Caenorhabditis elegans: one gene and its partners. The protein of the gene in region 1 interacts with the protein of each later gene in a biochemical or structural test. Each region holds a gene or a part of one and is shown in the gene's direction. Other genes may lie near its edges.

Region 1 (8,251 bases):
CGGGTCCAACTGTAATTAATGGCTTCACGAGTAACCGTCACACGTATAATAGTCACACCGATGATTTCGATTCGAGAAATCGACGTGACTCGTCTCAACCACCAGTGGCTATCATTGAGCCGAATATCAATGTTCACATGCCATCCGACCCGATGCCATACAACAAACCTCATTTCGGACATGGTCACGGGCATAGCAACGGGAATAATAATGTACATTCGGTGAAACCAACATCTCACTACTCAAACCCAACGTTTTCACCGACTTCAACTTTTTCACCAAATTCGAACTACGACAACGATAACGACAGTGATCTGGATATTGAGGAAATGGCACGTCGTGCGCTTCCGAGGTATCTACGAGACAATGAAAAAACGGGACGACACAGAAACTTATACGGCGACAATTTGCACGGGATTCTTATCAAAAATCCGTCACTTCATCGGAGTTCTTCAAAGAAAGTTGTATTTATAGATCAGAATAAAGGTAAAACTTAGTAAATTGTAAATTCAAAACTAAAAATTCTAGAAATAAGCAAACCGGTTCGATACTTTTGAATTAATTAAAATAAAGTTAATGTTTTCAGCGTCTGCTGCCGCTTCTGCCGGTGACTCTGGAGAAGTCCCAGCTCATGTTCGTGCTTACGATGATGCCATCGAGGAGCCACTGGCCAATTGGAGCAAGTTGACAGATCAACTCGGCGGCGATCTTGCTGCTGTGGTGAGTGTTCAAATGATGTTTTGTATTGATTAAAACAAAAATAAATAAAAAATTGCACTAATCTATTATAATTCCTTATCTTTATCCAAATTACCCAACATAGAATAAGAGTTTAACATCGTAAAACAAATATTTCAGAAGCCAAAAGTGTTGGCTATGTTTGCCAGTATGCGCAACTATTTATGGTCTGCTGCTGGAAAATCGGAGCCATCGGCCGAGGAAGCTCAGAAGATGCTCACTCCAGTTATTAACTTGCTTGGTGAAATCAACAATTTCAAGGACACGAAGAGAAAGACCCCTCACTGGAACCATCTCAATTCGGTGGCTGAAGCACTTCCGGCTCTTGGATGGGTGACCGTGGTATGTTAACATTCAAAAGTTGAAATAAAATATTACTGTGCTCAAGATTCGATAATCTTAACATACATATTTTCTAAACTGCTTCTAATTTCAGAAGAAAACCCCAGCTCCATACGTGAAGGAGTTCATTGAGGCTGCTCAATTCTACATCAACCCAATTCTCCGCGAGTTCAAGGAGACCGATCCAAGACACGTTGAGTGGACCAAGGCTTGGAAGGCTGTATTTGAAGAGATGCAGAAGTTTGTTCGTCAAGTTCACACTACTGGTCTAGTCTGGAACAGCGCTCCAGGAGCCGCCCCTGATGCTTCTGCCTCTGCTCCATCTGCCGCTGCTCCATCAGCTCCAAAAGCTCCAGCAGGTCCAGGAGGACCACCCCCACCACCTCCACCACCACCAGCCGACTTCTTCGCCAACATTGCTCCGCCACCAGTAGATGCTGACAAGGCAAGCCGTGATGCTCTCTTTGCTTCGTTGAACCAGGGAGAGGGAGTTACTTCTAGACTGAAGAAGGTCACGGCCGATATGCAGACTCACAAGAACCCAAACCTCCGAGGAACCGCTGTTGTGCCAGCCGCTGGTGCTTCTCAGGGCGGCTCATCTCCTGCCAAACCAGCTGCTCCAGTAAGGAAGCCACCACACAAGGAGCTGGAAAACGGAAAACAATGGATTGTGGTAAGTGTTTCAACAACTTGAAAAACATATTCAATAAGCATTATCAATGAAAAACTATTTACAGGAGTACTTTGTCAACGATCCAAACATTGTTCTCGATGTTGCCGATAAGAAGCAGACTGTCTATATCTACCGTTGTGAGAATTCTGTGATTAAGGTCAACGGAAAGGCCAATTCTATTACTTTGGACGGGTGCAAGAAAACGTCTGTTGTGTTTGATGCCCTTGTGGCTCAGTGCGAAACTGTCAACTGCCAATCTGTGCAAATTCAGGTAATCAGAAGACTTTTAGTTGTACAAGCTTCAATACAAGCTCAAATACAATACTATTTTTTTTCCGTCTGAACATAAAATTAGTTTCTAAATAAAAAATGTGAAAATAAATATTTGGTTTTAATCGTTAAAATCTTCCAAATTACTAATAAAGTTCAGTCAACTATATGCTTCGAAATTCACTGAATCTATTATTGTTATTAATTTTTAGACCCTTGGAGAGCTCCCAACTCTTTCAATCCAGAAGACTGATGGATGCCAGGTGTACTTGTCAAAGGTGGCTCAAGGATGCGAGATTGTCACTTCCAAATCCAGTGAGATGAACATCTCCGTGCAAACCAATGATGATGGGGATTATGTAAGTTTTTCGGATTGTAGAACCCAATCTAAATTTCCTTTTCAGTCGGAGTTCCCGGTTCCGGAGCAGTTCAAGACAACTTTTGTCAATGGCAAGCTAGTCACTGTCGTCTCGGACATTTGCTAAATCTTCTCACGTCATAACCTTATTTTTCAACTTCATGAACTATCCCCTCGAACTTTTTTATTTGTCCCTGTCTACAATTCTTTATAAGCAATTGAGACACACTTTGCTTTATTAAATAATACCGATTTTGTTTTGTATATGCATTGACTGGTGCTCAACTATTTTTATTGAAAAAATTACTTTTTACTGTCTCGTCGAATAAAAGTGATCCCTTCCAAAAAATAGTTATTCATGTTTGAAGGTTTGTGATCGTAGAACAATTGCACCGAATGTAGTGTAAAAAAAATTCCAGAATGTTCAAATACATTTCCACCCTCACCAGAACATCTCAAACACCAGGCACATTTCAACACACTTTCATGGATCTTATCTTGCCTCAAAACCATCAGCTTTCTTCTCATTCTACAAGTATGAAACAATCTACTATTCTATACATTTATAATGTAATGGAACCATGTGAAGACATGAGCAAGATCATTGTCGTCAGCGACTACCCCTCCTTCATTTTTCTTAGAGTATCAGTTTGCTAATGCTATTTTTTTTATCGCTATCAAGTTATAGAATGTCATGGATGCAAAACCTGAAAAACTACCAACACCTTCGGGACCCATCCGAGTACATGTCCCAGGTTTATGGAGACCCGTTAGCGTACTTACAAGAGACGACTAAATTTGTGACAGAAAGAGAATATTATGAAGATTTTGGTTATGGCGAATGTTTCAACTCTACAGAATCAGAAGTACAAGTGAGTTTACGTAATTTTCAAATTGCAACGGTAAATTTTATTTTTGTATGCAATTGTATTTTGTTCCCAGTTTTTGAAATATTCGTTATATACATTGAAGTTTTTCAACTGTAAATTTGAAGGCCCGTATTTTCTTAATTCTTCGATAAGTATTTTGTCTTTATAACTACTAAGTTTTTGCTGAATCAACTTGTTTATTTTACTTTGATAGCTTATCTGCAAAACTGTACCAAAATTAAAAACCAAGATTTTTTGTTTTGGAACAATATAATCAAAACGCTTAAAATGTTCAATAAACGGTAAAAAAAATAAAACTTGCAAAAAGTCGCAGCTGAGTAATCTAACATTTCCGAATTTCAGTGTGAACTTATTACGGGAGAATTCGATCCAAAATTGCTACCCTATGACAAACGTCTAGCCTGGCATTTCAAAGAGTTTTGCTACAAAACATCTGCTCACGGAATTCCCATGATTGGTGAAGCTCCAAACGTATATTATCGAGCAGTTTGGGTCGTACTTTTTCTTGGATGTATGATAATGCTCTATCTTAATGCTCAATCTGTGCTTGACAAATACAACAGGAATGAGAAAATTGTCGATATTCAATTGAAATTTGGTAGTTTGAAAAATCATGTGCTCCTTACTGAGCTTTTTTATTTCCAGACACTGCACCTTTTCCAGCAATTACGCTTTGTAATTTGAATCCTTACAAAGCAAGTTTAGCAACAAGCGTGGATTTAGTAAAGCGAACGTTGTCAGCATTTGATGGAGCAATGGGAAAAGCCGGAGGAAACAAAGATCACGAAGAGGAACGCGAAGTTGTCACCGAACCACCCACCACCCCTGCACCCACCACAAAACCGGCACGTCGTCGAGGAAAACGTGATTTATCTGGAGCATTTTTTGAGCCAGGATTTGCAAGATGCCTTTGTGGAAGCCAAGGGTCTAGTGAGCAAGAGGATAAGGATGAGGAGAAGGAGGAAGAGTTACTTGAAACAACTACCAAAAAGGTATTTAATATTAATGGTGAGTGTTGCATGTCAAATGAGCATCGCGTAAAACATTCTTTTGAACACAGATGCCGATGAGGAATGGGATGGAATGGAAGAATATGACAATGAGCATTATGAGAATTACGATGTGGAAGCAACTACTGGAATGAATATGATGGAAGAATGTCAATCAGAGAGGTAAAGTCTAGTCTAACAACTTTGACAAAAAAGTGTTTGAAAAAGTCTAGTCTTACAATTTTGAGGTACGGTAAAGTTTGTCCATTTTGATAAGTCCAATTTTTGAGAAGGCTCAATTTTGCCTTCCATAAATTTGAAATTCATATGGTTCCAAAATACAGAAGTTCATAATGAGACGTTTCGAAATGTTCTCCACAAATCTTTTTTCTCGTTCAGAACAAAATTCGACGAGCCGACGGGATTTGACGATCGGTGTATTTGCGCTTTCGATAGATCAACTCATGATGCGTGGCCCTGTTTTCTGAACGGAACCTGGGAAACCACCGAATGTGATACTTGCAATGAACATGCTTTCTGCACCAAAGATAACAAAACTGGTAGGTTTTTCAATCACTTTGCCAAACTAGCTTCACTTGTTTGATTTTACTCTTCTTAATTTTTATTGTTGTTTTTTTCTAAATCGGAATTTTTCAGCGAAGGGCCATAGATCCCCATGTATTTGTGCTCCATCTAGATTCTGTGTAGCATACAACGGAAAGACGCCACCAATTGAAATTTGGACATATCTTCAAGGAGGAACTCCAACTGAAGATCCAAACTTCCTTGAAGCTATGGGATTTCAGGTAACAATCACAAATATATAAATCAAGTGGAAACTGAAAAGTTTCAGGGAATGACAGATGAAGTTGCAATTGTCACTAAAGCCAAGGAAAACATCATGTTTGCAATGGCTACCTTGTCAATGCAAGATAGGGAACGGCTAAGTACTACAAAAAGGGAACTTGTCCACAAGTGCTCGTTTAACGGAAAAGCGTGTGATATCGAAGCGTTAGTTAGGCTTTCAGATATGATATAAATTCAATTATTCAGAGATTTTCTGACTCATATTGACCCTGCGTTTGGTTCGTGCTTTACCTTCAATCATAATCGAACAGTAAACTTGACTAGTATTCGAGCAGGTTAGTTTCCTCAAAATTTTTTCCACATATTTTTTTCTAAAATAATTTTTGAAGTCCGTTATGTATAAACCAAAAAACGTGTTCCGATTCCAGGTCCCATGTACGGATTACGTATGCTGGTTTATGTAAACGCGTCTGACTATATGCCAACCACGGAAGCCACAGGCGTTCGTTTGACTATTCATGACAAAGAAGATTTCCCATTTCCTGATACGTTCGGTTATTCTGCTCCAACTGGATATGTATCCTCATTTGGATTACGATTGGTATTAGAAATTCAAACTCTTTTTATAGAGTAATGGTGTTGTTGTTTTCAGCGAAAGATGTCACGTTTGCCAGCACCTTATGGAGATTGTGTGCCAGATGGCAAAACATCGGACTATATTTACAGCAATTATGAATATTCGGTAGAGGTGAATAGTAAACAGAATTTAAGCAAGTTTAGTAGGAAAAATGGGTCATAGAAACTTTGTGATTCTTGTTAAAATAGCAATTAAATATAGAACTTAATATGATAACAGAGGGAACTATTCCAGGGCTGCTACCGTTCTTGCTTCCAACAACTCGTGCTGAAAGAGTGCAGATGTGGAGATCCACGTTTCCCAGTCCCTGAAAATGCACGGCATTGCGATGCAGCAGACCCTATTGCAAGTTAGTTTCAAATTTGACATCTCCATAAATATTTTTTTCTGCAGGAAAATGTCTTGACGCCAGAATGAATGACTTGGGAGGCCTACACGGATCTTTCCGTTGCAGGTAACTTTTGAATTGTTATATACTTTTTAAATAAAAAACTGCAATTTCAATTTTAAGATGCCAACAACCATGCCGCCAGTCAATCTACTCCGTTACATACTCGCCGGCAAAGTGGCCGTCGTTATCTTTGCAAATTCAACTAGGATCGTGTAATGGTACAGCGGTAGAGTGTAATAAGCATTATAAGTAAGTTAATTCAAGAAAAAACACACTTTAAAATTGGGCCTATTTGAGAGAGAACGGAGCAATGGTGGAAGTGTTCTACGAGCAGTTGAATTTTGAAATGCTCACTGAATCAGAGGCTTATGGGGTGAGTTGAAAAATTTAGGCAAAGAACGTGTATCAAAGAAATGTATCAAAAAAATTCGAAAAAATGCCGAATTACTACTAGCGAGCAGGCAAAAAAAAATTTATTTTTATTCCAAAAAATTTATCTCAACTATTTCTAGTTTGTCAACTTGCTAGCCGATTTTGGTGGACAACTCGGTCTTTGGTGCGGAATATCCTTCCTTACCTGTTGCGAATTTGTGTTCCTTTTCTTGGAAACTGCCTACATGAGTGCCGAACATAACTACTCTCTGTACAAAAAGAAGAAGGCTGAGAAGGCAAAGAAAATTGCGTCTGGATCTTTCTGAATTTGTTTTTTCTTGTTTTAAAGTTACCATTGCAATGTTGTGTCTTAAAATAAAAATTTACATGAGAATAATTGAATAATTTTGGGTAGGAAATTATTCAATTAATATTTTACTTACAATAGACACAAAGAAGTAGGAGAAGGGGAGTTTAAAAGACAGAAAAAAAAACTACTGAAGAGAAACATATAAAAAACAGAAACAATCACTCGCTGAAGGAAAATCTATTCACAGAAACAAAGGGGGTGACAAGTCAAGTCATAACTTTAAATAATTATTTGTATGGTTACTTGTCAAAATTGGCTGAAAATGAAAGCGGCACTAGAATAGCATCAATTAAAATACGTGGCATTTACGGAGGTGAAGGGGGGAGGGGCAAAACCAAACAGAGTCAAGAAAAAAAATACAAAGATACTGTAAGCTGCAACAAAGTGAACCAATATAAGAAACGGGGGTTTCAAGCTTAATACAAGGAATGGAAGAAATAAATTTTGAGACAGAAAAGTTGAATTTTACACAGAGCATTGTTGGCATCAAGGAGTGCTTAACGAGCCAGTGTTCCAATCAATGCGGCGCAAATCTCAAAGAATTGCATAGTCTGGGAAAGCTTAGCTCCTCCAGGAGATGGTGGTGGTGTCACATCGCACTGAAAATACTCGGTCATTGAAAATTAGTGCGTTAATTATTTAAAGGTAGTGGCATCAACTTCTTGTCACTCGAAGATTTTTAAAAAACCTATAACTATATCAACCACTCCAAATACAATTCCAGTTATTTGTAATACTTCACAATAAAAATATTGAAATAAAAGAAAAATATTAATTCTCACCGACATGTCCGAAAAATCATGCACTTCCATTTTCTCAATACTCGCCTCCATACTCATCGCCTGTGGCATGCTTGACGTTCTAGTTCCACGAATTCCGGCCGGCTTCTGCGGCATAGACATTGATGCGTGTCGGGATGAAGATGCACTGGCGGCTGAAATTTTTAATGAATATTGGTTGAGGTGGAAATTATATATTCATTTGACCCATTAGGAAAAAATGCATACAAAAAAAATCGTCTTGAGAAGACTTGACGCTATTGAAAAAGAATTTCCATTGACCTTTTTATTTTTCCAACTGCAAAGCAAACTTCGTTTTAAACATTTCTGAACAAAATTATTGTGACACGTTAAGCTAGACTACATGCAGAAACTTAGGTTATAGAGGGGCATGTTCAGAGACCATTGCAAAATATTATTCTACGGCTTTTCAAATTCAAATTGTGATTTTAGTTTAAAAAAATGCACTAACTTGTATTTTCTAGTATTTTCTAGAACGATTAACTAAATATTTTAAACAGGTTCCACTTTCAAAAAGTTCAATCTAAACAAAGAAAACCCTTACATCCAGACTCCTCGTCGGCCAAACTCTTGAAATCCAACAAGTAACTTCTCTGATCCACTTGGTACAACTG
Region 2 (7,576 bases), on another chromosome or scaffold:
AAATCTTTTTGTGGAAGGTAAAATCAGATTAGATTCTGTAACGATTACTTTTCTCAAGAAATCGGTAAAATTCCATTTATTAGGTTTCGCAACCTGAAGAATTTCTCAAAATAACCATGAAAGTTTGAGCTCGGCTACCTGAACCCGCCTATCAAGTTTCGAATTTCAAACATTTCAGTTTGACATAAACATTTTAGAGGAAAACAGAGACGAAACGGAAACTGGTATATAGAATTGTTCTCAATAATATTATCGAAAAAATACGATCGCACAATTTTCTCATAATTTATTTTTGATCTACCTTGTTGACTAGGCTCCTTCCCTTCCTTCGACAAGACAGCCACAACAAAATAACAACGGGAACAAGATTGGGGGCGGAGTCAAGTTCAACAAGTAGATCAAAAATTAATTATGAGAAAACTGTGCGATCGTATTTTTTTGATAATAGTAGAAATGTCATCATCAATGATGTTTGAGTATAATTTATGGAAATACAAAATTAATTCGCTGAGGCATAAAAGGATTATTGACTACTAAAATTGTATGGTTTTACAAAGTGCAAATAATTTTGCGTCTGGAATACTAAAAGTTAAAAATTTTCGGACAAATAGTAGGTAATAGGGCTGTGCGGCTGATGACTCGGCTGATGGAGCAAATCAACGTTTTTCAACGTATTAGCAATGATCAATTAGGGAATACTTGTATTTGCCATATCGGCTGAGTCTTGAGCTTCTAATTCTAGAAAAAAGTTTTTAAAAATGTGCACACCCCTTCCAGAAAAACTCGTTTTTCCAATCAGCCGACAGCCGACAGCCGAGTTACTCGGCTGATTCAAAAAGCCGACTGTTTTGTCAAGGTGTGTGCACTTTAAAAAAACTTTTTTCTTGAATAAGAAGCTCATGACTCAGCCAATACTGCAAATACAAATATTCTTTAATTGATCAGTGCTAACGCGTTGAAAAACTTGATTGTCTCCATCAGCCGAGTCATCAGCCGCACAGCCCTAGTAGGTAATCATAGTAAATTTTAAACTTTAACTGTAAACCCACCGATCAAAATGTTTTTAGAATTTTTTGATCTGACTTGCCAAAGTTTATCAATAAGATCATAGAATATTTGTTATTGTAAGCCAACAAAGTCTAAAATTCATAAAACAACGAGAACTTACTTATTGCTTTGCGACAATCCTAATTTTCAGCAGAAAATGAATTGATTCGTCTAATGCGGCATTCATCGAATGTTTCCCTGTTGTGTTATATTTTGGCCTGAATGAAATTTATAAATTTTATTTAATCTTTTGATATAAAAAAAATGAATTTAGAGAAAATAAAAAGAAGTTTAACTTAGATTTTAAAAAACAAAAATGTTGGAATAAAAACAGTTTGAGGGGGTACGTTTTCGTAAGGGGATTTTTTCGTAAGGAACGCTTTCAGTAGGGCAATGTGCGGCGCGCCTTTTCGCAAGCCCGCCGCACAGTCCTTCGCAATGCGCCGCACGGCTTTTTGCAATGCGCCGCACGCTTCTTCGTATTTATTTATTTATTTTTCCAACAGGAAATTTCGAACGGAATTCAATTAAAAACGGATTTTTAATGGAAATTAATTAGTTTTATTCGAGCTAAATACGGATATTTTCAGAATTTTCGATGACAAAAACGGGTTTCAATCGATTTCGAATCGATCAAAATTAATATTAATCGAAAATGAGCGTTTCCTTCCCGGAAAAAGAAGAACTTGATGCTGAGAGTGATCCAAGCGGAGCCAAACGCTTTTTTAGAGGCAAGTATTGATGTCTAAAGATTAATTGAAGAGTGAAAAGTATTTTTCAGCGTTCACAAACAACCCGAGTGAGCAGCAATTTTCCAAGCTGAAGGCAAGTTTCTTTTTGTAGTTTTTTAAGTTCTCAAATAGGTATATAACATCGATTTGTTTTGTTTTCCAGAGAATGTATCATCACAACGACTATCAAAACCTGCGAGGAGTGATTCAAAAGACCATTCAACTATCAAAATCATTGATCCTAGACTTGAAGAGACGATCCGGAAATCGAACAACCGCTGTGCCATTATACAAAAACCCCGATTTCTGTACTTCAGTGTTTTTGAATTATACCGGTTTCAGTGCTTTTAATGAGAAACTTTTCCCTTTTATGGAAATTCCGAAATGCTATCACTGATCTCTTTGTTTACCTCTGTGCCATTAGATTATAGAAACAATTTTCCATACTCAGGTTATCCAAATTTCGCCATGATTTTTCTTACTTAATTTAATCGAATTAACTTTTGTTTGCAGTTTTATTTTCCATTTCGACTGAATAAAAAATCACTTCTATCATTTTAATCGTTTGGCTCCGCCTGGATCACTCTCAGCATCAAGTTCTTCTTTTTCCGGGAAGGAAACGCTCATTTTCGATTAATATTAATTTTGATCGATTCGAAATCGATTGAAACCCGTTTTTGTCATCGAAAATTCTGAAAAAAATATCCGTATTTAGCTCGAATAAAACTAATTAATTTCCATTAAAAATCCGTTTTTAATTGAATTCCGTTCGAAATTTCCTGTTGGAAAAATAAATAAATAAATACGAAGAAGCGTGCGGCGCATTGCAAAAAGCCGTGCGGCGCATTGCGAAGGACTGTGCGGCGGGCTTGCGAAAAGGCGCGCCGCACATTGCCCTACTGAAAGCGTTCCTTACGAAAAAATCCCCTTACGAAAACGTACCCCCTCAACAGTTTTTTTGGTAAATGCAGTTGCGCTCCGATGATAATATGTCGCAACGGAATGGTGGGAATTCAAATAAATTATTCTGTGTACACACACCAACAAGCAACAAAAAAAAATGTTTATGAACTTTTAAAAACGGAAATTAAAAATTGCAGAATCAATTATCACAAACTAATTATGCATTTGTCCATCATTTTCTGAGTTAACGCTACACCCATTTAAAATTCACAACAGACTTGCCAAAAGAAAATGAGAAGAACGGAGGAAGTGCTCACCAAGAGCAGAAGAAAGCTCGTTCAGCTGAATTCTTCCCTCTATCTCTGGTTGCCTCCTAGTTTTCAATACTATCTCTCCTTCAGCAGATGGCCACTGGGACCAGCCGTTTCCAAGGAGGTCCACACAGTCAAATCCTTTGTTTTAGTATATGCTGTATGTTTTACTTGAGAGCGGAATATCCATTTTAAACTTTAAAAGTGGTCCGTTGTTTTGACTTTTCCGATATAAAAATTGATAAAAGCTCACTGAACTTGATTAGCATTTCATTTTATCTCGACTTTAGAAAGTAACCTTCCATCCAGTAGTGATCCTTTTAAAAAATGAAAAATGTTAAGTGTTCTTTATTTAAATCAGGTTTTCTATTTTACAGAAAATGGGTCTCCAATCGGCAGCTGCTCATTTCATAAATCGTTTTATTATTTGGATTACTATATTTATGGTTGCATGCTTTTTGTTGAGACTTTTGTAAGTTCAAGGGCACAATTTTAGTGATTATATTAACTTTTTGGTTTTCAGAGTAGTACTTGATCTCAACAAACGTGTTTATAATCACACACCTGGTCCCTGCAGAGTTCTAACAGATAACTGTAAGTTTAAATTTTTTTGAATTTTAAATTTTGTAACTGAAAAAAGGTTTTATTACAATTAGAAACACATTATGCGGATATCAAAAGTAAAAAATTATAAAAAGAGTCATCCATCTATATTCCAGATAAAGGAACCGCCGGCATGACATACGTCGAATCTCAAAAACGGGTGTACATAACATTGGGGTACGGTAGAGCACACGATTTGAAAACAAAAACTGGCATCGCATTTTATAAAACAAATCGAACAGATGGAAGGAGTCAGCAGGAAATGTATGATTTGATTGAAATGACAATCAATTGGAATGGTTATGAATATAAGGTGTGTAATTTAGTTTGAATAGCCTGAAAAGAATTGAAATATTGATTTGCTTCAGCAGTGGGGGCAATATAATGAATGAACTACTCGGTGATTGAGAGAAACTTTCTGCCAAACTTTTGCAAGTTTCAGACAACATTTTGAAAATGAGAGACTTAATCAGATCAGCAGATTGGTAGCTTATCTGAGCAGTTTTAACAGCCAGGAAGCCAGGTTGTTGGCAAAAAGTTTTCCCGAGATCCGAGTAAGAAGCCCCAATCGGGAAAGTTATATACTTTCGAGAATTATAATAAAACCTGAAACCTAGAACCTTTATTTTCAGAAAGAGTTCATTCCAACAGGAATTGATTCATATTCTTCATCAAATGGTCGTGTACTTCTCTATGTAATAAATGCTCATCCAAATCATCAATGTATTCATTTCTTCCAAATTGTTGAAAGTTCAAAACTTAATCATCGAAAAGCAATATGTGATCCTTCATTTTCAAGTCTCCAGGATATTGCTGTAGTAGGACCAGATCGACTGTTTGTCACAAATATGGCTGCATTTGGGAGAGGATGGGCTCAAATTTTGGAATTTTCATTACAGGTGAGTTGACCTCCAATTATGGAATCATATCAAATGACAATCGGTTTATTACAGACTGGACAAGGAGCTGTATACTACTATGATGGTAGCAAACTATCAACTGCTGCTTCCAGCCTGATTGCACCTACGGGAATTGGATATGACGCAAAACGAAGAATTCTTTATGTTGGATCTATGATCAGAGAGGTTTGGAACGTTTTGGTAAATTTCCAAATATACAAAACAATTTGGGCTTTTGAATAAAACTTCGAGACACTTCGGCGGTTTTTTTTATGCTGAAATTGTTTCAAGTTATTCGAAAAGCTGCCTTCACAAAATTTTAAACACTTTGTTTGTTTCGATGATACGCATTGGCATTTTCTAACTTTTCCCTGGGATCACCTATGTTAGAAACACGGAAGTCATTAAAAAAAGCTAAATAGTTTCGCAGCATCTGCCAAGAAGATACAATTCTGAGGTCTACTGAAAAAGTTGTTGCAACCGACAGCTTTGATTTTATATTATTTCTGTTACGTTTCAAAAATATAATTTGTTTAAAAAAACTGTCCTGAAGCACAAACAACTTTTGAATGAAGAATTTTCAGTCAATATTCGCTTACAAAGTAGCGAAGGATACAACACTTGAATTATTGTATGAAATGATGTTATTGACATCACCAATTGGAGTTTTCGTTGAATCAAAAACTGGAGATATTTGGATTGCTGCTCATCCAGTTATTCATGAATCTGCATGGCATTATACTCATCCAGAAAATCAAAATATACATTCTCCAAGCCAAATTTTGAGAATAAGGATACAGGTTTGTATTATTTTTGTTTTTATTTCAAAGTTTATTAGGCAGAAATTTAAAACTCAGATCTGAATACAGTGTTTCTAATTCAATCTTTAAAAAACGATTTATTTCATTTTCAAATAAAAATAAATTTTAACCAGCAACTATATAGTGGAAAGATTCCTGTTCCAATTTGAAGGGAGCAGTTCCTGCGTAGATATATGGAAATATTATATAAGGCTCCACAAATGACATTATAATAAATAAAAATAAAACTAGAATAAAAACCTTGAAATTAGTCAATACCATAATGAATTTAATGAAAAACAAGTAATCTCCGGAGAGGTTTAAATATATAAATTTATTCGATTCAAGTGTTCTTATGACTGAAACACATGATATGTTCGACCACAGACAAGGTACTTCAGACTAAAAATGATTGAGACAAGTGTTGTGAATATTGGAAAAATTTAGTTCCGTTTCACGAGATTTCGAAAAATTTTGAAGAATTTTGAAACTTTTTCTTTTTTTTCGAAGCATTTTTAGTGCATCGAGCTTTCCCAGTTTTCTTCTATTTATTAAAATAATCTAGGTATTCTACCCCGTTCAAATTTTTTTGTAAAATAAATTTGAAACTTCAATATAATAGCTTCTTTATCATTTGTAAAGTATCAAATTACGCTAACCAAGCACTTTGTTCCCATAAACATGTTGTCAAGACTCGAACTTATCAGACTCTGTTTCCACGTTTTTTATCAATTCATTCAAATACTAATCAATGCGAAAAAGCGTCAAAAAATCAAAAATCGCATTTGTTTCAGGAAGAAGGCAACTCTTGGGTAACAACTGAACCGTATGCAAACGATGGAGCAACTATTTCGGCGAGTTCATCAGTTGTATTCACTGATGAACAAATGTTAATTGGAAGTTCATTTGGAAGACTTCTTCATTGTGATCTTACGCATTCATATATTACATAGTCAAACTTTTAGAGCTTATTTAAAAAATAAACCGATGAATATGATCTAGAAACAGATGTGTTGTAGACATTGTATCTAGATTTATTTATAAACTTGTCGAGGCGTAACGGGGGCGCCACGCCTCCACCCCTTTTCAATAGCCTTCCAGCGTTTTAGAGGAAAGTCGATTTATGAGAATTTAGCAGCTTTCAAATTAACTAATTTCTCGTCACAATTAGTCATTCTTAGTGTCTTGATTCGAAGTCTGATAATATATTTCTCATTTATTGCCATAAAGAAATAATTGTAATACTTTAAATTTCAATATTTACTATTAAATATCACAGGAAGACAAGAACAAAGCTCATGTTGGGAATTGAGAATCTATTCGCGAACGTACTCGCGGCGAGAAACAACGGATCCAGATTCAAGAGTAGTGATAAGCTTGTCTCCTTCGAGCCAACGGGTGATAATTGATTCCTTATCAGAGTCCTTGATCTTCTTTTGAATGTGAATGAATTTTCCGTTCTCGAAGTTGACAACTGACTTGACGGTACGGCCATCTGGAGTGGTCTCATCGAATTCCTGGGATAAAAACATTAAATATAAGTCTGAAGAATGCTAGTTCAATTTCAGGGTTGAAACAATTTTTATTGGATACAATTACTTGGAATTTGGGGATAACTTGCTCAAACCAAAAGCTCAAATGGATAGGATAAAATGTTGGCAGGAATTTGCTCACAGCAAATTGTGGGCAGAAAGTCGCTAAACTTTGTCCACAATTGCCGATATCAACGAACGTGCATTTTGAAATCAGATATTGTTTCTCATGGCTTTAAAAAAATATTATTCGTGCATGAAAAAACACGAAAACTATGGGAAATACATATTGTTTATCAAAGTCTTATAACAAGAAATCAATGATCATTTTATGATTTATGGTTTGAAATGTTATCACCTGGAATTTTAAGACTTTTTGTCTGTGAATATGGAAGTAACAATTTTTATTCATAAATTTGTAGTGCGTTTCTTTATTTTTATGTAACTTTTTTGTCGCAAATTTGGAATCAGAAAACCCACATTTTTTTTGATAACATTATTTTTGTCTTTTGTAAGTAAAAAACTTTGCACTTTCTTACCTGTCCCAACTTGAAAGAAAGAGTGGTGTTCTTGAATGTGGAGTATTGGTTGGAATACCACAAATCTCCTTCGACCTTGATTTCCAAAGTTGGCTTCAAGTTGGCAGCAGCCTTACGAGTGATCAATCCAACTCCAACCTCCTTCATGTACTCCTCGAAGTTCTCTGAGTGAATGAGCTTCCAGCGTCCAACGAATTCTTGAGACATGGTG
Region 3 (8,219 bases), 3.1 Mb from region 1:
CACATTATCTCGGGGACGATGTACAAAATATGCGTTGCAATACTTCTATTAAAAGCGCATGCCGATATTACCATACTTGCATGGCTCATTTTTGAGTGTCCTGGAATTTGGAAAATTCAAATATTCGAAAATGACGAAACGAAAAAAAGTGAGTAAAGTGAAAATATTCAGGTAAGAGAGTTTGAAATTCGATAACTTGTAAACTACTTGAGTAGGCGGCAATATTTGACTTTGAATTCTCTTGGTTCTAAGTTGCAAATGAATGAGTGAATAAAAAGAATAAAGATTACAGAGATTACGAGGAAAGAAACAAAAAGGCGTGTAACGGAAATATGGTTCCTATTCTGGACATCAGACATTCGATATTCTTTCCGTGTTTCCAGAACTCTCTCGGGCAAACACCTACATATACTCAGTTGTTGTATGTCAGTAAAACTTGCATGTCTCATTATTATTATAGATCAGATATTCAAAGAGCGATTGTTACGCAATGAGCATAAGAAGGCGATGAAAACATGTAAATTAAAAAATCAATAAATTTGGATTATATGAGTATTTGTCAACAAACAAAGTAAAAATTTACAACATCCTTGATCATCACTCATGTACACTGAGTACGATCCACTGATACTTGAATACCAATTTTGAAATAGTCTTAACCACTTTTCGGAAAACGATATAACTAAAAAACTCCTAAACAAATTTTTCATCTCGATTATTTCAGTTCAAAGTTCTTTGAGAGATTATTAAGTTCATTGGACATTGCGTGACAAATTTCCTTATCAACGTTTCATGTCTACGAAACCGAATAAACTTAAGACGTAGGTATGAATAACCTCACTCTTGAGATTAAGTGGGTGGTATTAATGTCTGGACGGGATGATGTGAGCAGAAAATGCTCAAGTGAGTTTCATTATGTAACTTAATCACAAAAAACCGAAATTATTAAACTGTTTCGGTTAAGTAGATTACCTTCAAAAAATAAATGAAAATTGACAAAAAAAACCTTATAAATCAGAATATGTATCAACTTTTTTTTTTGTTATTTCAAATAAAATTTAACTCAATTTTTTCTTCCCCAGAAATAAACTCATCTGAAAATACTTGCAAAAAATGGATACTCGTTTATTCTTGGAAGGAACATGCTTCACTGGATTCCGTGTGTGAAAAACCGGAAAAATACTTTAAATTTTTTAACTGAAAAATAATTTTTAGAAAACAACAAATAAGAAACTTCATCACGCCCACCTTCTGATTGCGTTATCTAAGCTCTAAATTTAATTTCAAAACTGATCAGTCAAATTTTTCTATTTGTGAAGTTGACGCGTAAAATCAACGCTTTTAATTTTTTTAAAAGAAATAAAACAAAGTTATACTGCAAGCTAAATTTTTTTTCTTGAAGTTTCCTACAACTATAAAAATAATGCAGTTTGCGCCGTGATCACGCAGTATTTTGATTCAAATCGGAGAGGATTTTTTTTGAAAAATATCATGTTCTATTTATTGAATCTGAAATTTGCAACAAAAAAAAACTGTAAACCAAAAATTAACAACTTGAAATACATGAAGCTCAAGGAGGAGCAAAATACCAAATCGCTTCCGGTTTGAAACAAGATGAAAAACTAATTCGATAAATGCCTTATGATATTAATTTTCTTTATGCTCATCATGTTTGCAACAACTACCAACTAGCTCTTTCTTAATGCACAATAGAGGGTTGCATAACGACACCATGCGATAGAATAGACAGCTTGAACCGAGGGAAACATTTTAAATGCAAAGAGAGGAGAAACAGCTTTGTTAAGTGGGAAAGAAGCTCATATTGTCTTGGAAACATGCTACAGCTAAGCCCGTTTGCTAGTAACTGTTTATTTTTTACAAGTTTTGCTATAGTCACTACTCTATTTGGGAAACTTTTGTAAGTGGGAAAGTGGTACATTTTTTAATTAAAAATATAATGATAAGTCTATTGAAAAATATTTTGTTCAGTTACAAAAATGCTCCAACCCACTTTTTTTCTAAAACTGGTGTTAAAACAATAAAAAACGGAACATAGAATTTACACCACAAAAAAGGTTCTCAATTAAATTTTAAAAAAACGAAAAACAAAAATCAGCATTGTAATAGACTTTCTACAATTTGAAAAATACTGCTTGAATTTTTTATTTAAATAATCTAATAATGTACCAAAAGGGAAATACTAGTGCAAAAAATCTGATCATAAGTTTCCGAATACAAAAAAAATGTCATCGTTGGAAAAAAATCCCAAAAAAGTACACCATCTCTTTTGAAAAATTGTAATATTCTAAGTGCTTGAGCACGCGATTATAAGTACTCAAAGTGATTTTGTATAATAAACTAAAAATGTGTAAAAAGACAGTCAGAATTGTGAGCAACTAATTCGTAAATATAAACCCTTCCATTAACACACCAGTTAGAAACATGTATTTTTCTAGGGTATCGTTTTAGACAAGAGACGAGAAAAAGTAAGGGAATCAAATATTAATGAGAAGAGTCTGAACACAAACAGTTTGAAGAATATTTATGTTTTTTTTTAAACAAAACGACTGAAACAGTTTCAGATTACACATTGATATCAACAAAAGGACTTACAACCATGTTCCTGGAGAATGTGGCGTTATTCCTAATTTGCCAGGAATTCTTGGACTAACTACCAGTACCACGGGACGACTGTATATGACTACGGTATGTTGATTAATATGTACTCAACTATTGATATAAGTTCAGATTTGGAACATTTTTTTGCGATGTTCTGAAAGTTATCACAAACCTTTTAACATTTATCGATGAAAATGCAAAAATTCTTAGACGTGCAATTTTGAATAAGCTATGCAACATGATAAATTTCAAATGAAGCAATGCACTTTACTAAGTAGTCATGACGTTAAAGAGAAATACTTGATGTTTATTCCGATTTACGATGAGACAGAGAATAGAGTGAATGAATGTGTTTTAACCTTTTTCAAAAAGTTACAATAGAAATCATAGGAACAGTAGCAATATGTACATTTCAAAAAATACGGAAATTGATGTCTGGGAAATCTTAATTGCGATAACAGGTGAAAATGTGAAGTAGTTCACAAAAACAGAGCTTTTTCTTCTATTGCTCAATAAAAAGTTAAGGAATTGGATTATCTTATCAGAATATTGTAGAGCAAATACATAGGTATATTGCTCCAAAACACACTTATGACAGACTAACCAAATATCATCACAATTCATAATTTTCCAAAAGCGACTTAATGTTGAGAAACTGAGAAAGCAAGCGTCGTAAGAAATTTTGATTTGAAATTTGAACATAAATTTGAACAGAACTTTGAAACAGAATATTTTTATAGAACTCGAAAGACATCAATACAGACCAAACACATCTCTTCACATTTTACTCCGACAATCGTACCGCTCGAGAAATAGAGATTCGCGGCGGACCACCAAAATGGCGTCTGACACCAGGAGCATTAAGTATCAACAGTGAGACAAGTAATGTAAGTAATTGATGAGTTTTACTTGTCTCCAGCGCCACATGCATTCCAATAATTAACATGGCTTTGGGGTATTGGTGTTGGGCGGGAGATGTTTAATGCCAGAGCGTTTTTTTAAATTTCAGCCAAATGTTTTTGTGCACAATAAAAGGACCAACAATATCGATGTTTTTGAGACAAACGAACAGAATGATGCGTGGCAATACCGAAAAACATTCAAAGATGAGCAATTTGAAGGGTAGGATTATTTTTCTTATTTTTCAGTTGGTTCATGTTTTGAAGAGAGAAACTCTAAGTTTTTGATTAGATTTAAATGTTGAACTTTTTTGAAACTTGCTTCTTAAGCAAGTTTTCTACGTAATCGAGTTTCATTCCACATTTTTATTTCAGACTCACTGATATATCGGCTGCTGGTCTAAATTCGTTCTTTTTTGTTAAATCCAGTATATTTGGAACCAACTTTGCATTAAATATCATTGAACGGTGCAGTTTTTTTTTTTATTGAAACAGGACAGTAGAGTTTGGTAGATTTCTGCATTATCATCAAGGGTTGACTGTTTTTTTTCGCTTGTATGCAAACACTTTGTAAAAATAATTCATTGCACTTATCGGAAATTTCACGTTATTTCTTTTTTGGGTATTTTTTAAATCACTGTCTCAAGCAAAAATCCCAAATCCCACAAGAAAAAGCAATTTTCTTAAAATTTTTGTTTTTATTGTAATAATTAAGTCTAAAAACTCATGCTTCTGTTTTAACCAAATTTTTGTAAAGTAAATCTGGCTTTACAATCAATTTTCGGTATTCAAAATTTTTCAGAGTTGTACCGATTCCAACCGGTTACATTTATTTTGTGAGTGGAAATAATATACAACAAATATCCCGAGTTTCTTTCCCAACTGGCATCGTTTATGATTCTGTAAAAAAGTGGGTTTTAAAATGTGTTTTTGAATATTTGTTTTTTTTTTTAATTTGTAGATCAATTTTTGTTACGTCATCCACCAGAAACTCTATTTATCGAATGAAGGTGCAAGTCAAAAATGGAATTGAAATAGTTAGTTCGAAGGAGTACGATCTAGGCTGCTCGCCGAGCTCAATTTGGAAAGATTTTGATGGCTCATTTTTGATTACCTGCCATCCAGTTAAATTTCGGTAGGTTAAAGTTTTTGTTTGAAATGAAAAATGTCAAGTCGATAGTTTTCAGGTATTTACTCAGTCTATTTAATGTCATAACATCTTCACCATCTTTGATACTTCGAGTTGCTGTACCCACGGACAAAGATAAACCTCTGTGAGTTGTTTTCCTTGAAAAAAACAATTTCAAAATATTGAATATGTATTGATGAAATCAATTTCGTTTTTAAAAACTGATAAGTTAAGGCTCATATTTACACATCAAACAAATGTTCTATCACAAATTCCAAACGTCTTAATCAGCGCGTCTAATTGATAGTAAATTGAACACATTTGAAGAATAATGAAAATGAAAATACTTTTACATGTTTGTACGAAAATATTGTGACAAAGGAGCTGAACCACTTGAAACTTAAAACGCCCCCATCAGCGCGTAAAGAAAAAAACATATAAATTGCGTTCTGAATTATGAACACAAGACATAATTTATAGACTGAAATAAAATTCAACGCATCAAAATTTTGACTTGTAATGTAAAAAAAAAAGAAATTTATGTGTCATATTTGTCTGGCACTTTTTTGTGCAAAAATATTGTGGAAACGGGGAGAATTCACCAGTTACCAAATTTGAATGTTCGAAAAATTGACAAAACAGAAAGAAGCAGTCCTTTTGATTTGAAAAAGTTCTACGGCTAACAATGGATGCATTTGCATGCATCAAATGTTAATTATTTTCGGATAAAAACTCGAAAAATAAAATGAATCGACATCTTATATTTTTTATTATTCAGAACAATCACACAATTATACTCTAACGATGGTGCCACTATTTCCAACGCAAATGTGACAGTCCGAGCGGGAAGGAGTCTTCTTATTTCCGATGGAACTAAAATTCTCAATTGCCATTTATAAACTAGTTTTATTTGCATTGTAGTCGTTACAAAAATTTGAAATTATAAAAATGTATTAGGTTTCACTCTTGACGTCTCACAACTGGATGTTTCAAAACACTCTGATCGACTTGAAATCGTCGGAAAAAGTCGATGTTATTGTTGGGCACAATTGATTTGTCGTGAGGTCCATGACTAGTTTTATAGGAAACGGCAAACTCTCCACGCATTGAACTATCCCTATAAAATGCAAAATTTGTTTTTTTTATAGAAGTAACGAAACATACCTTATGATGAATTCTCCCGGTAGAACTAGTTGCCTACAGGCGTCTTCGTGTGACAGCGGACCATGGTAGCATGCAAGCATGTTCGGTGTGTACCTGTATTCTTGTGTCGACCTCTGAATAATTATAATTTTGCGAAAGAATGTTATTTAAAATAACCAGGCGAGTTTCCAACTGTAGCGCATTATTATGTCTTCGTTCATCGACACTTCGCAATTTTGTTGTAAGGTCATTCAGGGCGATGTCGTTATCCAACATGAAAACGTTGCACTCTCGTTTCTCAGTTCTTCCAATTTTCATCACAATGCCCAAATAATGACGTCCATCCTGAAATGTGAATTTTTGCATTATTTGAAAAGAATATAGAGAATTGGGAAAATGATAAAACTTGTAGTGCATGTGCACAAACTTGCAATTATCAATTATGTTAAAAATATACATTTAGTTACGACTGAAAGATTAAGGCTAGAACTTGCCACAAAGCGGTTAGATTTAGAGTACCGCCTAAATGGTATTACGGCCAATTCAAATTTTTATATCAAAAATGCTGATAAACAAGTTCCGCTCGACTTTTTTAGAAAATTCACAACTCAAAAAGGTTTCGACTCTATTTTAGGTACGTTTATGGAATAATCCCTCTTACTTAATTCAGTAAATTCCTCTTTGATGACACCTCTTCTTTGATCTTAAATATTTGTTAAATCTTTAAAAAACTCACTATTTCCCTGTATTTATAGTGCGAGATCTGGTTATTCTTATATCTTCCGAGCAAATGAGTTCTGCCGTCTTGAATGTGAAAACATGTTATAGTGAAACTGCTGATGTTAAGAAATAAGTCCAACTGATATACACTAACATACGGACCGACAACCTGAATTATTAACAACACTTTGACAAAACTAAATAAACTATTCAAACCCCTTCATGTTGAATTACAGAATACTCATGCGTTGCTCTAGAAGACACAACAGTGTTGATGCAATGTCTTTAAGGTTAAAATTAGTAATCTGTCTTCTATTTTCACTTTACCTAACAAGTGCATCTCTATCCGCAATGGGTCTTTCCCTGATAGTTTGTAGTATCGGTGCATATCCCATGTACTGAATTTTGACATTTTGTATTTAAAGTGACAAACTTCAGCAACATTTTCAACTGATTAAAACAGAACTTAAGAAATAAATTTACCACCCATTCATTTATATTTTCACAAACTCACCTTAACAGCAAATCTATCCCCGCTTGCATTGACATGTTTAGCTGATTCACCCCAAGAAGATGTGGGGTCGTTCAAAACTGCGGTAGTCATTACCAAATAACAGTAATCAATATTCAAGTGACCACAAAAGTAGAAATTGAGAAAATGATAAAAATTGTTGATAACCACGTTATTTGCAAATATGTACACTCAAATGATAGACTAGGTTTGTTAACAATAGAACCAAATTTTTGCATTTTGCAAACATTGTGCGGCGTAAGTCAGTTTCTCGTAATTTGCTGATAGGTGAGTTCAAAAATTACACTAGAATTCCATCGAGAATGTTATATGGACTGTGACTTTAATTTTTGTTTACACAATGTTATATGCAAATTCAAACTTCCAACTAAACCCTAACTTCGCTCCCAATTAAAAAGGAGAAACGTAGAATATGTATTCCGCAAAAACAAAACAAAAATCTAAGCCCAATGCGGGGCTCGAACCCGCGACAACCAGATTAAGAGTCTGGTGCTCTACCGACTGAGCTAACCGGGCGCCGATTGTTGGAATCGTAATAGTTGATGACGTGAAATACATGCTTATGTTTTTTCTCATAGATGATAGAAGACATTAAATCAATCAGATAAAGGTGTAAAAGCAAGGCGTTTCTTTTTAATTTTATTTCAACAAGTTTATTAAACAAAATTCTAATATCAAGTAGGTTCAATTATCAAAAACCCAAATTTTGTAAGTATCATGACATTAAATCTGAAAATACGGAAATCAAATCAAAACAAATATCCTCGTTGATATGTAGTAATTTTTCACTTCAATACAGTGTTTTCCCTAAAGACGTGATAAATAAGAACATTGAACCATCAGAAAAATCAACCGAATACTTACTAGGAAACTACATAAAAAATAATGGAGATGAAAAAGAACAAAAAGTATACCAATACAAGAGTATTTGCTACAAAAAATCTGAATTGAACTTTGCCACTCTAATGTTGAAAGTGGTTGTTATTCATACATTGCGCATCTTTTTTCGATTGTTAATATTTCACAAGACTGATCAGTTAAAATCAATTTTTGAAACTTTTCTTTTTGGTGTAGTTTAGAAGTTTAGAAAAAATATTAGTTTGTCAAATCGAAATTTTTTCGGTCATCAATTAACAAAAAAGCTAAGCCCAATGCGGGGCTCGAAACCGCGACAACC

What was found.
Region 2: of the proteins of mec-4 (region 1) and mec-6, one has a biochemical effect on the other in vitro, tested with the Caenorhabditis elegans proteins (one study listed by BioGRID).
Region 3: of the proteins of mec-4 (region 1) and poml-1, one has a biochemical effect on the other in vitro, tested with the Caenorhabditis elegans proteins (one study listed by BioGRID).

Annotation. Positions count from the first base shown.
Region 1 is NC_003284.9:16,801,934-16,810,184, reverse strand, and holds mec-4 (Degenerin mec-4), read left to right. Parts: upstream 1-3,069; 5' UTR 3,070-3,070; coding exon 3,071-3,253; intron 3,254-3,613; coding exon 3,614-3,869; intron 3,870-3,916; coding exon 3,917-4,279; intron 4,280-4,331; coding exon 4,332-4,443; intron 4,444-4,659; coding exon 4,660-4,820; intron 4,821-4,917; coding exon 4,918-5,066; intron 5,067-5,113; coding exon 5,114-5,271; intron 5,272-5,313; coding exon 5,314-5,402; intron 5,403-5,495; coding exon 5,496-5,668; intron 5,669-5,719; coding exon 5,720-5,815; intron 5,816-5,938; coding exon 5,939-6,053; intron 6,054-6,097; coding exon 6,098-6,158; intron 6,159-6,215; coding exon 6,216-6,344; intron 6,345-6,392; coding exon 6,393-6,468; intron 6,469-6,607; coding exon 6,608-6,793; 3' UTR 6,794-6,864; downstream 6,865-8,251. Other genes in the region: cas-1 (C-CAP/cofactor C-like domain-containing protein), read left to right, coding at 1-486, 587-720, 859-1,080, 1,175-1,753, 1,818-2,024, 2,236-2,382, 2,428-2,508; aak-2 (5'-AMP-activated protein kinase catalytic subunit alpha-2), read right to left, coding at 7,335-7,436, 7,620-7,771, 8,182-8,251.
Region 2 is NC_003279.8:6,721,795-6,729,370, forward strand, and holds mec-6 (Mechanosensory abnormality protein 6), read left to right. Parts: upstream 1-3,369; 5' UTR 3,370-3,372; coding exon 3,373-3,464; intron 3,465-3,515; coding exon 3,516-3,586; intron 3,587-3,711; coding exon 3,712-3,908; intron 3,909-4,227; coding exon 4,228-4,494; intron 4,495-4,548; coding exon 4,549-4,680; intron 4,681-5,078; coding exon 5,079-5,294; intron 5,295-6,088; coding exon 6,089-6,247; 3' UTR 6,248-6,295; downstream 6,296-7,576. Other genes in the region: W02D3.13 (uncharacterized protein), read right to left, coding at 1,169-1,234; lbp-6 (Fatty acid-binding protein homolog 6), read right to left, coding at 6,611-6,811, 7,366-7,572. UniProt on the Caenorhabditis elegans protein: Subunit of an amiloride-sensitive cation channel (degenerin channel complex) permeable for sodium, potassium, lithium and N-methylglucamine, and required for mechanosensory transduction (touch sensitivity).
Region 3 is NC_003284.9:13,716,534-13,724,752, reverse strand, and holds poml-1 (PON (paraoxonase) and MEC-6 Like), read left to right. Parts: upstream 1-1,831; 5' UTR 1,832-1,835; coding exon 1,836-1,918; intron 1,919-2,582; coding exon 2,583-2,706; intron 2,707-3,359; coding exon 3,360-3,506; intron 3,507-3,628; coding exon 3,629-3,741; intron 3,742-3,893; coding exon 3,894-3,986; intron 3,987-4,320; coding exon 4,321-4,428; intron 4,429-4,479; coding exon 4,480-4,653; intron 4,654-4,705; coding exon 4,706-4,792; intron 4,793-5,401; exon of another isoform or gene 5,402-5,425; coding exon 5,426-5,546; 3' UTR 5,547-5,607; downstream 5,608-8,219. Other genes in the region: K11E4.6 (G_PROTEIN_RECEP_F1_2 domain-containing protein), read right to left, coding at 1-89; shc-3 (SH2 domain-containing protein), read right to left, coding at 5,608-5,764, 5,812-5,924, 5,968-6,135, 6,527-6,679, 6,727-6,793, 6,838-6,908, 7,025-7,114.